Mus musculus: one gene and its partners. The protein of the gene in region 2 purifies or fractionates together with the protein of the main gene of each other region. This does not show direct contact. Links are inferred from orthologs where the notes say so. Each region holds a gene or a part of one and is shown on either strand. Other genes may lie near its edges.

Region 1 (3,622 bases), about 59 Mb from region 2:
GATACTGGGAGCCTGAAGAGGACCTCTGAACACCTCATGTGACCCTCCCGAACTTTTGCCAAGCTGATGGCTAGGTACAGAGATCTCATTATAGACTGAGAACCAGGGTTGAAAAAGATGGGAGATTAGCTTAAAGCAGAACCCAGTGAGACCAATACCTTTGCGGCCACCCCATTCGCTAACTTCTTTCTGTCCCAGGGCAAGTAAAAGCACTCACGCATCCTTCCTCGGGGCCCTGGTGCTCCATACCACACAGGCCTTTCCAGCCCAGTGGCCTGTGTGAGAGCAAAGGGCATATGCTAAGAAGCTGGGGAGAGTAAGAGCCAAGGGCAGAGGAGGTATGCTTCCTCATTTTAAATACTGGCTCTGCAAGAACAAGTCTTCTCTGTCTCAGCTTTCCCATCCCTAAAGCAGGGCAGCATGGGGAACGGGAGAGGAACGATATCAGAATGTGGAAAGTATACAGAACAGAGCTGAGTGCACAACAGGCATGAACTTGCTAAATAAAGCCAGGCTGTGAGTTTCCCCTTAAGTTCCCCCCAGCTCTCTAAGGCACCAGGGTGACTCTAATGTTTGTTGTAATGCCAGGGCTTTCTCACCGATTCAGACCAAGCATACGAATAACAATATTCTTTTTAGAAAGAGCCCGTGGATACAGTTCCCACACACGAGAAGTTCAGAGCACCTCAACAGTGGCCTCACAATTCCACGATGCCACCTAGTCTACTATCTCTTAGAGCCAAAGTGAACTTATTTCCAGTGATCATCTGGGGGCGGGGGGATGTAGAATATAGGCCCCAAAGGCCCCCACAGGCTGCGAGTGGTGAGATGCTTACTCTAGATGTGCAAACACAGCTCTCTGAGTGTCTAGGACCACACCCATAACTGGCACACGCCCTATTCTTCCGAAATAGAACTTCTTAGAGTCCCACTTCTAGTATTACTGGACGTTTTTATTTTAAACAACAGGGTAGACTCCAGTGGAGGCCACTGTGAAGGTGTTTGGTAGCATCCGATTTCGTACTACGTACCTGGCAGTCATCCACATCCACTTCAAGGAACACCACATTGGAATACTTGTCACAGAGGGACTGGAAACATTCAAACAAACCAAGAAGCGTTAGAACTGGATAATAGCATTCAACATAGTTAAGCGTCTTCAAAGGAAATGTAACAGAGATTAAACATTTATTTAATTTTAGCTTATGCATACGGGTGGTTTGGTTACATGTATGTCTGTACACCATGGGTGTGCCTGGCGCCTGCAAAGGCCAGAAGAGGGCGCTGAACACCCCACAAGAGTTATAGAAGGTTGTGACTCTCCCATTTGGGTGCTGGGAACCAAACCAAAGTCCCCTGCAAGAGCAGCCAGTGCTTTTAACCACTGAGCCATCTCTCCAGCTCCATACACTTATTTTGAAAGAACTTATTTTATTTATTATTGCATTATTATTGATGTAAATGTGTACAGGTGCATGTGGAAGTCCGAGAGCAACCTCTGGGAACTGGTTCTGTCTTTCCAGGGTGGGTTTTGAGGATCAAACTCAGATCCTCAGGCTGGCAGGGTGAGCCATGTGTCTTTTTTTTCCCCCACTGAGCAATCTCACTAGCCAGGTCTAAAAATTCAGCCTAGAGATGAAGCAAGCGCCAGGGACACAGCTGTCTCTCAGTCAAGTGTTCCTAAGAGTAAAGTAATTCGGCACTGTAACTTTGAAGGCCGAATTTCACACTAGGCCCAGGTATCAAATCAGGGAAGGGGGGGGGGAGATCCTGGGGCAGGGGACAAAATTATTTAAGACAACAAAACTCCCCAAAGTTGTCCTCAATGAACTATATTACGTAAGTTTCCATGCTAGTACTACTTTTAAGCCAATGACACAGGAGAATAAAATAAAGCAAACAGCAAACTCCTCGCACCCATTAATTTCAATCCTTTTCTCTGGCTTGGGTCTACCACCCAGCCTCAAAGCTCACTGCTACTCCACTCACATGGAAGAAGGGCTTGATCATTTTGCAAGGTCCACACCACGTAGCAGAGAAGTCCACCACGACAAGCTTGTCTCCCGCGGCGGCCAGGGCCTCCTGAAAAGCTTCCTGCAGAGGGAGAAAGAAACACCTGTGTTACACATCATATACTTTCACTTTCCGTGAGATGTGGCCAGGTGCCACCACGCCTTTAAACCCAGCACTCACGCTGGAGGCCAACATGGTCTACCACAGTGGCCAGTTCCAGGCCAGTCAGTGAGGACCCCCCCTCCCCCATATCCTCCAAAAAGACCCAAGCAAACATGCAAATCAGCAACAAAGAGATATTAAGTACAAAAGATGAGGTTCGGCTCTTCGGGCCTATCTTTTAATCCAAAGCAACCACATAAAGTGGCCTGAAAGGAATCCTGCACACAGTTGGCATTATTATACTTGATCAGGTGATATAAGCAGAGTGTATTGGTCTTCAAGTCTTCAGGAATATGTATAAGATATTACGAACTGCCTAACCTGAGGTGGTGTATGGACCCAGGGCCTGGCACCTGCCTCTGAGTTACATCCTTAGCACATAACCAACATTTACACTAAATACAAGAAAGGGAAATAGGCATTTGTGGTAAAAATGTTTACCCTTTAAAATCAGTTCTGTGATAGATAGTGGATTCTTAGGGGGTTGGTGAAAGGAGCCTCAAAAACTGAAGAAGCTCCACAAGAAGACACAGTTAAGCAATGGGGAAGTCACAAGTTACTTAACCAAGGGTCAAATGAAGGCAACACTTACCGTATTTGTCTAGAGTAAAACATGGGAAAACCTCTGACCCCAAGGCAGAGTCCAGGAGAGCAGTCTCCTACTCAGCTCATCACTAGCATAATGTCCTGTGTGTTGCTGTGTTAAGATTTAATTTGTGTGTGTATCTGCTGGTGCCGAGAGGGGTCTTGGGATCCCCCCTAGAGCTGGAGCCATGGGTAGTGGGTACTGCCTGAGGGTCTCTTAACCACCACGCCAGCACTCCAGCCCCTTCTGTGTGCTTTAACCAGGGCCTATAGAGTTGGGATCTTTCTGGTTTATCCACCTTTGGCTTTTGCCCTATGGATCAAAACTCTGTTCTTTACATGAATCCAAGTTTTGGTTTCTCAAGAAGGAATTATTCTGTCATATGAAATCCCCAGCAAAAATGATTAAAAAAAAAAAAAAACAAACCCTCACTGCCAACCTCTCTGAATTATTTACTAAAAGCCTTGAGACTGTAACCCTAGGAACCTAACAGTCTAGTCACCAGGGACTCATTCAAACCACCATTAGTCATGGAGAGTGACCAAAACCCAAACCGGGGCAACAAAGTGAATCAAAGCAACACACACAAGTTGTATCTGAAGCCAACATTTCCTTCTGGGAAAAATGCTGGTCAAATTATTTAGCAAAAACTAAGACAAATTAAGAATATTATATCTGGTCCAACAAAGGAAAGTAAATATCTTATAACCACACACACACCCCTAGTTAAAACCTAATGCATTTTCATGGGGGTATACTTACTTTAATTTTAATTTATATTTACTGTTTCTTATATTTGCATTTATTTATTTATGAGTATCAGTGTTTATGTCTGCATGTATTTATGTACATCACTTGTGT
Region 2 (4,191 bases):
CTACATTCCAGTCCCAGGGGATCCAATGCCCTCCTCATGTACCATATGTACATGATGCTCAGACACACATTCAGGAAAAGAAAAAAACCCACCATACACATAAGATTAAAAAATGTTTTAACACCAAGCGTGGTGGCACATGCCTTTAATCCCAGCACTCGGGACGCAGAGGCAGGCAGATTTCTGAGTTCGAGGCCAGCCTGGTCTACAAAGTGAGTTCCAGGACAGCCAGAGCTATACAGAGAAACCCTGTCTCAAAAAACAAAACAAAAAAAAGAGGAAGGGAAAAGCAAAGGCAGGTTGTATCTATCTCTAGGAGTTAGATACAACCATGGTCTACATATTTAGAAAGCCAAGGGAATAGATAGTAAGACAGCTCAAATAAACAAATGATGAGAGCGAGCAAGAACTGACCAAAACAAAGGGGGACAAGATTGTGCAAGCTTTAATCTTAGCACTAGGGAGGTAGAGGCAGGAGGATGTCTTTGAGTTCAAGGCCAGCCTGATCTACATAGTGAGCTTCAGGACAGCCAGAACTACATAAAGATCCTATCTTAAAGAAAACTTTTTTAATTACAGTGAAAAAAGAAAAGGGAAAGGGCTAGAGAGATGGCTCAGCCCTTAAGAGCACCGACTGCTCTTCCAAAGGTCCAGAGTTCAAATCCCAGCAAGCAACTACATCCGTAACGAGATCTGACTCCCTCTTCTGGAGTGTCTGAAGACAGCTACAGTGTACTTATATATAATAAATAAATAAAACTTAAAAAAAAAAAAAAAAGAATTCCCCCAATAAATAAATGCCACTAAAAAAGGTAATCAGATAAATGTTAAGGTATAATAAAGCATACTTTCTCTAGAAATGACTCATACCTAGGATATCTACCCTTGTTATCACTGTCCTAACCTTGACTTCACTTCAACCTAAAGACATGTGAAGTGGCCTCTTTAATCTTACCTTTGTATTCACTTAGGCTGATATCTTTGAATTGTCCATCTGGCATAACAGCTGTAGCTTTGAAGTTGGGAGCAGGATACCCAATTTTTGCATTTCCTGAAGACATCTTGCTATCAGCTGGAAAAGACAACAAAAAAAAGTAAACCCTATTCTTCTAAATAAGCAACAGCTTTCACCTACCTAGGAACTTAACTGTAGCTCAATCAGAACACAGGCTCACAGTTAAGGGTCCCAACCCAAAGCTCCAACTCCAGGGTAAAATTGAGACTGAAAAATCAGCCTTTGTTTTCACTTGCTAACAGCTCCACAGTGTGTCTAAATAGGTCAGCTCTCCCACCCTTTCTAAGCCAGTTTTTGCAATGGCATTTTATTCTGCATATTCATTAGGGAGAAACGGGAAGGAAATGGAACAGACACAAAAATCCCAAGCACATCAATGCCAGGACACTGGCATTTATTGCTTCAGATCTTTAGGTGTTCTGTTTAAGCTTAAGTTTTCTCTGCATAACTTGTTTGAGGCCAACCTAGATTTAGTAACCGTGTCTTAAAACGTTCTTTAGGTTTAACCCAGGGACAGTGGAGCATCATCCCAGCACTCTGCATGCTGAGGGAGGAGGATACTGAACCGAGGGAACACTTGTCTCAATTTCTGTATGAGGGAGGTTACGCAGGTTAAGGTAATTGCTATCTGATGACCGTAGTTCCATCTCCAGAATGCCCATAAGGATGGAAAGCCGACTTCTACAAGGTTCACACACACAAATGTTTAAAAGAAAAAAACTTGGGATGTGTAATCTCAACACTTGGGAAGTAGAAGCTTAAGATTCAGGAGTTCAAGGCTAGCCAAATTAGAGGCCAACCTATTTCCAAGATACTCTAAGAAAAATACAAAAAGAGTCAATGTACTGCTAAGAAACCGATTTCTGCACTATCGACCCAGGTCAACACCAAGACAAATAAATTGTTAAGATGTACAACATTAGGAGCTTCAGCGATGGCGCAACAATTTAAGAGCCTACACTGCTCCTTTCCGGAAAAGTCCTGGTTCAGATTCCTCCACCCACTTAGGATGGGTTCACAACCACCTGTAACTAGCTCGGGGGGGGGGGGGTGTTTACCACACAGGTAGACATACACATTAAAAAAAAACCCACAATCTAAAAGAAAATTTACGCCTCTCAGTATGAGTGCAAGTTGGAATCCAAGTTCCAAATTTCTTGGTTCATAATACCAATAACCAAAAGAAACGCCAAGAAAAAAAGCATCTTTCATCGCAAACTTTAAAAAACTTTTAACTGTTTTTTTTCAGGGACATGCTGCACCTGCAGCATAGCAACTACCTATCTGGTGTGCCCCCTAACATAAACCATCTTTTAATCAAACTTGCTTTGCAACGTGGCCCAGCATTTCCAAACTCAACCAATCCCGGAAAAGCGACTTCCGGCCGCTGAGAAGTCTCCGTAGGAATCGGACTAGAACGCCGGAGAAGGTCACGCCCCAAGCTCGCTGGAGGTTACGTTCCTACCACTCACGCCATCACCCACTATAGCACATCAGAAAACACAACGACACAGCCCAGTGCGCGCGGTAAGTTCCAGCACAAACTCGTCCCACCAAGCCATCTCCGCCCTCTATCGGTGAGCGGGAGAGGAGGAAACTGAACGTTAGCCTCAGGGTTCCAACAGGTCCGGGAACTAAGCGCCACGTGAAGAATGCGAGTAGAGCTCCAGCACTCGCGGGACCAGGCCTCGCCCTGCCGCTTCAGCCCGTGATCGCCCGGGACGAGCCGGGACCGGCCAGAGGGAGAAGGAACCAGTGATGGGCGCGAGCCGCGTTTCTCAGCGGCGATACCCGCACACTCACCAGGGTCGAGCCACAGGTCTCACAAACAGAAAGAGCCGTGAGAACGCAGGAAGAGGTCGCCCGACAGCGCGCGCGGGGAGCTGCTTTTATAGCCTACAAAGTTCTCGCGAGATTCTCACGGGCCGGGGGTGCGGGAAGAGGGGGACCTGGCTGAGCCCCGCCCCACCCTGGCCGGCCTACGGGGGATGACTCAGCGCTTTCCCTGGATGGGCCTGGAGTGGAGGGGGTCTCCAGGGGGAAACGCTCACACTTTCAGTGATGCTGTTCCCAGAGGTAGAAAAGCACTGCCCTTTGAGTCATTTCCTCGTTTAATCGGGGTACCCGGGTAATCCGTGCCTCTCTTTATTCCCAGGACCACTGTGTGCTGTGCAATCAAGACCCAAACTAGAAGAAGGGTCTGTTTTACTGCTCTTGGAAGGCCACGTCTAAAATTAAACCACGTTCAGGGGAAACTGTGCACCCAAATATTTCTCAGTCGCACCCCAGCCTCACAAACCTATTCTAGGGCTGGAAAAGCTGGCTCAGCCGTTATAAGCCCTGGCTGCACTACCAGAGGACCCAGCCTCAATTTCCAGCACCCACATGGCAGCTCATAACTGTGTAGATCCAGTTCTAGAGGATCCAACACCCTCACACATACATGCAAGCAAAACACCAATGCACAGAAAATGAAAAGAAATAAATCGTTAAGAACAAAAACAAAACTCCTGTTCTAGTCTGGTCCTCATTAACCCTCACCACTGAGGGCAGCCTCCATTGGTCTCTGATTACTGGATACTGCTTTTCTGTTTCACACCCATTTCTTGCATTATTCTTAAATCTTTCTGAATCTCAGCCTGTCACTAAACTGATTTGTGGTTTTAAAAACTGGGGCTCTGTGGTCAATTTCCTGAGTTAAAAGTCACTGTTCCAAGCCAGGCAGTGATGGCACATCTTCTTAGCACTCTAGAGGCAGAGACTAATGGAGCTCTGAGTTCGAGGCCAGCCTGGTCTCAATTCAATGCGAGTTCCAGGAAAGCCAGAGCTACACAGAGAAATCCTGCCTCCAAAAAAAAAAAAAAAAAAAAAGTCAAGAGAGTTAAAGAGGGGTCAGGCTTGATGGCCAGCACTGGGAAGGTAGAGGCAAGAGAACCTCTGTGTTTTTTAGTCCATCCTGGTCTACATAGCAAGTTCCAGGACAGCAAGGACAACATAGAGACCTTGGGGGAGGGGAGGGGAAGCCGGATAGATACAAAGCTCAGAGTTCCCATTTCATATCACATGCTTTGTGTGATTTAGGAACCCAGAGATGGATATAATCCAAACTTTACCCTCTAGAAAGTCATGCTATAAGGATGGGGCAGACATGGAAACACAACAGTTAGAAGATTTTA
Region 3 (4,144 bases), on a different chromosome or scaffold from region 2:
ACAAGGAGTGAGAGGGCTCGGTGAGTGAAGGTGCTTGCTGCCAAGTCTGGCAACCTGAGCTCAGTCCCCACGACCCCACCTGGTAAGAGAGACTCAGGTCTCACAGGTTAGCCTCGACTTCCACTCGTGCATGATGGCACAAGTGCCCACCCCACACACAAAATGAGTAAATAACATGTCACAAAAACAAGGAAACTTCCTACCTGGCCCCGTCCCCCTCACGGGCCCCACACCTCACCTTGCCTTCTGCCTGGTGGGCTCGACCCCACTCTTCAATCACAAAGACGTCATTAACGCTCAGACAGGCCACCACCTGCGCTCCCTTGGCCTTCAGAGCTCCAGCTTGCTCCACAAACCCAGGCAGGTGGGTCTGAGAGGAAAACAAAAGGTCAAAGGAGAGCAACTGCAGTTGCTCAGCCTGCTCCCCCTATTTCCTAACATCCCTGACCAGGGTAAGGAAACCAGTGTGAAACTGGCCACTTCCTTTTTGCCTTGGCTACTAGGAAGCTTGGACCTAAGGGTGTATGGTCAAGACCATAGGCAAATCTTTTGTCTCATTAGCCCGAGTCCCAAGGGCTTCCACCACCAGCGTCAATCAGAGCTATCAGATTTAATGTGGGTTCTTTTCTCCCACACTCCTGGTCCCCAGTTTCTGATTCTCGAAAGGAGAAGTCTCACCTTAGAACAGCCAGGTGTAAATGCCCCAGGGACTCCAAACAAAACACCTTTCTTGCCCTTGAACAGCTCTGCCAAGTTCACCTTCTTTCCCGGTTCCCCTTCAAATACCTCCACTGAGGGAATGGCATCTCCCACCTGGAGAAAAAGACTCCAGGGTAAAACAGAGTGAAGAGAGACTAGTGAACCACAGCCACACAGATAGACCTTGATGGAGCCAGTGCTCACACCCAGCAGAAAAAGTGCCTGGCGGTTCAGGGGTCCATTTCTGTCCTCGCTCTCCTGTATGTCCTGCCTGCCCCACATCCTACATGACTGATTCTGCTTAAGGCCAGTTGGTGGCAACAGAGAAAGGGAGAGGCCTTCTCAAGTGTTGCAATACTGTATAAACAAGCCACCCAAGATGGGTCAATGCACAGAGGAGGGGTACAGAGGGCTATGTTTGGGGTTGAGAAACCGCCTGGTAACAGGCAGGAAGAAAAATCCTATCCACACACCAGGAGAAACACTTTGGAAAACCAGGTTAGCTATGTAAGCCAAAATGTTCAGGATGTAGGCTCTTGGGGTCGGTGGGAAGTGTCAGCCCACCTGGGGGCTTTCAGAGCCACAAGAGGAAAGGAAGGCTGAGGTGGGTAGGTAAAGGTGCCCACCACCAAGCCTGGTCAACTGAGCTCTAGCCCCACAAGCGACATGGTAGATAGAACTGACTCCTGAGAAAATTGTCCTCTGACCACCACACTCACATGCCTGTTACCAAACACACACACTAAGTACATGTTTAAAAGTTTTTCTTTTTTCTTCTTTTTATAAAGGGCCTTTAATCCTAACATTCGGGACGCAGAGTCAGACAGATCTCTAGGAGTTTGAGGCCAGTCTGGTCTACACACCAAGTTCCTGGCCAGCCAAGACTATATAGTAAGTCAACCTCTGTCTCTGTGTGCCCCCCCCCTTCCTTCCCTCCCTCCATCCCTCCCTTCCTCTCTCCCTCCCTCTCTCTTTCTCTAAAAATTAAGTCCAAAAACAGGAGAGGGGATAGGTTCAAGAATTCCCAGAAAGATCAAACAGAAGGGCGGGATCGGGGTGAGCATACATAGAGTGGAAACAGAAGTGGAAAAGATCAACCCAGGTCCCCAAGGGACCATGGCTCTTTCAAAAGATGAGATGAAATGGAGTTTAGTACAATCACAAAAGTGCTGGGGCTTTGGGGAAAGGGTTGGAAAAGCTGCCAAGCGGCAAAAGAGGCATTTTAAGAATGTGGGAAATGACATAGCATTCGGTCGCTTGAAAATGGTGGGGACTTGTCCCTGGACGTGGCATAGATGTGAGAGGGCAGCTCAAGAAATGTCCCAGGACGGAGAAGCAGAGACAGGGTCTTACAAAAAACATGACAAGAAGAAACGTCAAGGAGGACAGCCCGAGACCCCGCGTGGAACCCAAAGAGACGCGATAGGCTGGACCCAGGAAAGGTAAAACCGGTCACCTTGATCGGGGCCATGGTCACCGCGGAGCTGCTGAAGCTGCGGGCTCCGCCACACTCCCAACCTGCTTCTTTCCGGCCTGCTCTGCCTGCCAAGCACGTCGATGCACGGAGCACAGAACTGGCTTTGCAGCCCAGGACTCGAAGCCCCAGCTGTAGCATACCCGCCCCGCTGCCGCAGCCCACCCGCAGATGGCTCTGCCCACAGGAGGTGGATGCAGGGACAGCTCCGCCCACGCCGCACGTCCCACGTCGCAGCCACAGCGCCGGCTTAGAGGGGCAGGGCCGTGACGCACTACGACGCGGCGGGGCTCTCAGGGCTCGCACACCTTCTTCAATCGCAGAAAGAGGTGCCTGGTTTACCGACGTGACAGTTCGTGACCCATAGCCGCAAACAGAGGTCGGGGATGATCTGGCTGAGCCTCAAATGTGTTCGTTTTACCTGCGCCGTAACGCAGCCGGTTTACACGTGACTTGCATAGTGTGTACTCTCTTCAGCGAGCGGGATTCGGCGTAAGCCTTTGCAGTCTCCCCGAGAAACGCTTCCGGTACCAGGACGTGACCCAACACAGTCCTTCCGATCTCGGCTGCCGCCAAGCCCCCCAAAAGGTCCCCTAAGTCGGCCACTTCCGGTCCGGCGAAGAGTTCAACGGCTTCAAAGCGGAAGTGGTAGAAAGGAGAAGTGTGGACTCCTTCCGGTTCCGGCCTCACGCGCTCCGCTGTGACAACATGAAACTGCTCACCCACAATCTCCTAAGCTCCCATGTGCGGGGCGTGGGCACGCGTGGCTTCCCGCTGCGCCTGCAGGTAACTGCACAAGGGTTCATCGCCCATATAGTTCAGGGTGGAGCCTCCGGGACCCGGACCTACCTCGCTAAACCTTTTTACCGCCCCCCCCCCCCCGCAGGCCACTGAGGTCCGCATCAACCCCGTGGAGTTCAACCCGGAGTTCGTGGCGCGGATGATCCCCAAAGTGGAGTGGGCGGCGCTTGTGCAGGCAGCGGACACCGTAAGGACCCCGCCCCTTCTGTCGCCCCTTGGGGGCGGGCTCAGGCTCTGAGCCTCTTCCCTGCCCGGACGGCCTCGGTGTTCGTGTGCCCACTGACCACGTACGCTTCCTTTCCACAGTTAAACTTGGCCGAGGTACCCAAAGAGCCGACTGAAGGCTATGAGCACGACGAGACATTTTTGAGGAAGATGCACCACGTGTTGCTTGAGGTGAGAATCCTTGGGCATCGCCTGCCCAGACCTCCCACTGAGGCTACCGGTGCTTAGCTTTGTCCTGCTCCCCTGCAGGTTGATGTACTGGAGGGCACCCTGCAATGCCCAGAATCTGGTCGTCTTTTCCCCATCAGCCGCGGGATCCCCAATATGCTGTTGAATGATGAGGAGACTGAGACGTAACCTTGCTAGCCGCCACTTTGGTATTTTGTTGACTGTGTGTTTCTGTTGTACGGTCTGTTAAATAGACGTGTCATGTGTGACCCCCAAACTCCCCCCAGTGACTCACCGACCACCGTGTACTTGAGCTCCATAGTATATTTTTTTTCTCATTAAAGGTTCAAAACCAAAAGCGGTTTCTCTTTGCAGCAAATATACATTAAAATAGAGTCTCTGTACAGCCAAGGGCTCTGGGCCCTGGCTTGCCCCATGGCCCTGCGCCTCCCTGGCCAAACCCAAAAATAAATATAGTGTTATTGCTCTGCAGGGCATAGAGGCAGTGCTGTCCCCCACCCCTTGAGGTGGGAGCTGATAGGGGGCCCTGGCCACCCCTGGGGTCCAGGGGCTGGAGCCTGCTTGGAGTTATTGCTTCAAGGGGGGGCAATAATGCCCAATGCGGATGAGGAGAGGAGCGAAGGGACGGGGCCTTTGCTTTCCAAGCCCCCCTCTGCTCCGGAGAGGAGATCGGATTAAGCAGCAGCAAAAGCATCACCCAGTGGGAGCCGGCGGCCTCCATCCCTTCCCTCCCTGAGATCAGTGTCTGCCTCCTGC

The links.
Region 1: the proteins of Prdx1 (region 2) and Txn1 purify together in Homo sapiens (affinity purification with western blotting; 3 studies listed by BioGRID, with this or other methods). This does not show direct contact. The link is inferred for Mus musculus from reciprocal best matches to the Homo sapiens genes PRDX1 and TXN.
Region 3: the proteins of Prdx1 (region 2) and Prdx5 fractionate together in Homo sapiens (co-fractionation; 3 studies listed by BioGRID). This does not show direct contact. The link is inferred for Mus musculus from reciprocal best matches to the Homo sapiens genes PRDX1 and PRDX5.

Annotation. Positions count from the first base shown.
Region 1 is NC_000070.6:57,949,808-57,953,429, forward strand, and holds part of Txn1 (thioredoxin), read right to left. Parts: intron 2,095-3,622; coding exon 1,990-2,094; intron 1,092-1,989; coding exon 1,032-1,091; intron 1-1,031. UniProt on the Homo sapiens protein: Participates in various redox reactions through the reversible oxidation of its active center dithiol to a disulfide and catalyzes dithiol-disulfide exchange reactions.
Region 2 is NC_000070.6:116,684,288-116,688,478, reverse strand, and holds the start of Prdx1 (peroxiredoxin-1), read right to left. Parts: upstream 2,881-4,191; 5' UTR 2,819-2,880; exon of another isoform or gene 2,641-2,818; intron 2,543-2,640; exon of another isoform or gene 2,457-2,542; intron 1,073-2,456; 5' UTR 1,062-1,072; coding exon 956-1,061; intron 1-955. UniProt on the Homo sapiens protein: Thiol-specific peroxidase that catalyzes the reduction of hydrogen peroxide and organic hydroperoxides to water and alcohols, respectively.
Region 3 is NC_000085.6:6,907,304-6,911,447, forward strand, and holds the start of Prdx5 (peroxiredoxin-5, mitochondrial isoform 1 precursor), read right to left. Parts: upstream 2,804-4,144; 5' UTR 2,315-2,803; coding exon 2,156-2,314; intron 814-2,155; coding exon 679-813; intron 371-678; coding exon 239-370; intron 1-238. Other genes in the region: Trmt112 (multifunctional methyltransferase subunit TRM112-like protein), read left to right, coding at 2,882-2,959, 3,060-3,161, 3,281-3,370, 3,449-3,556. UniProt on the Homo sapiens protein: Thiol-specific peroxidase that catalyzes the reduction of hydrogen peroxide and organic hydroperoxides to water and alcohols, respectively.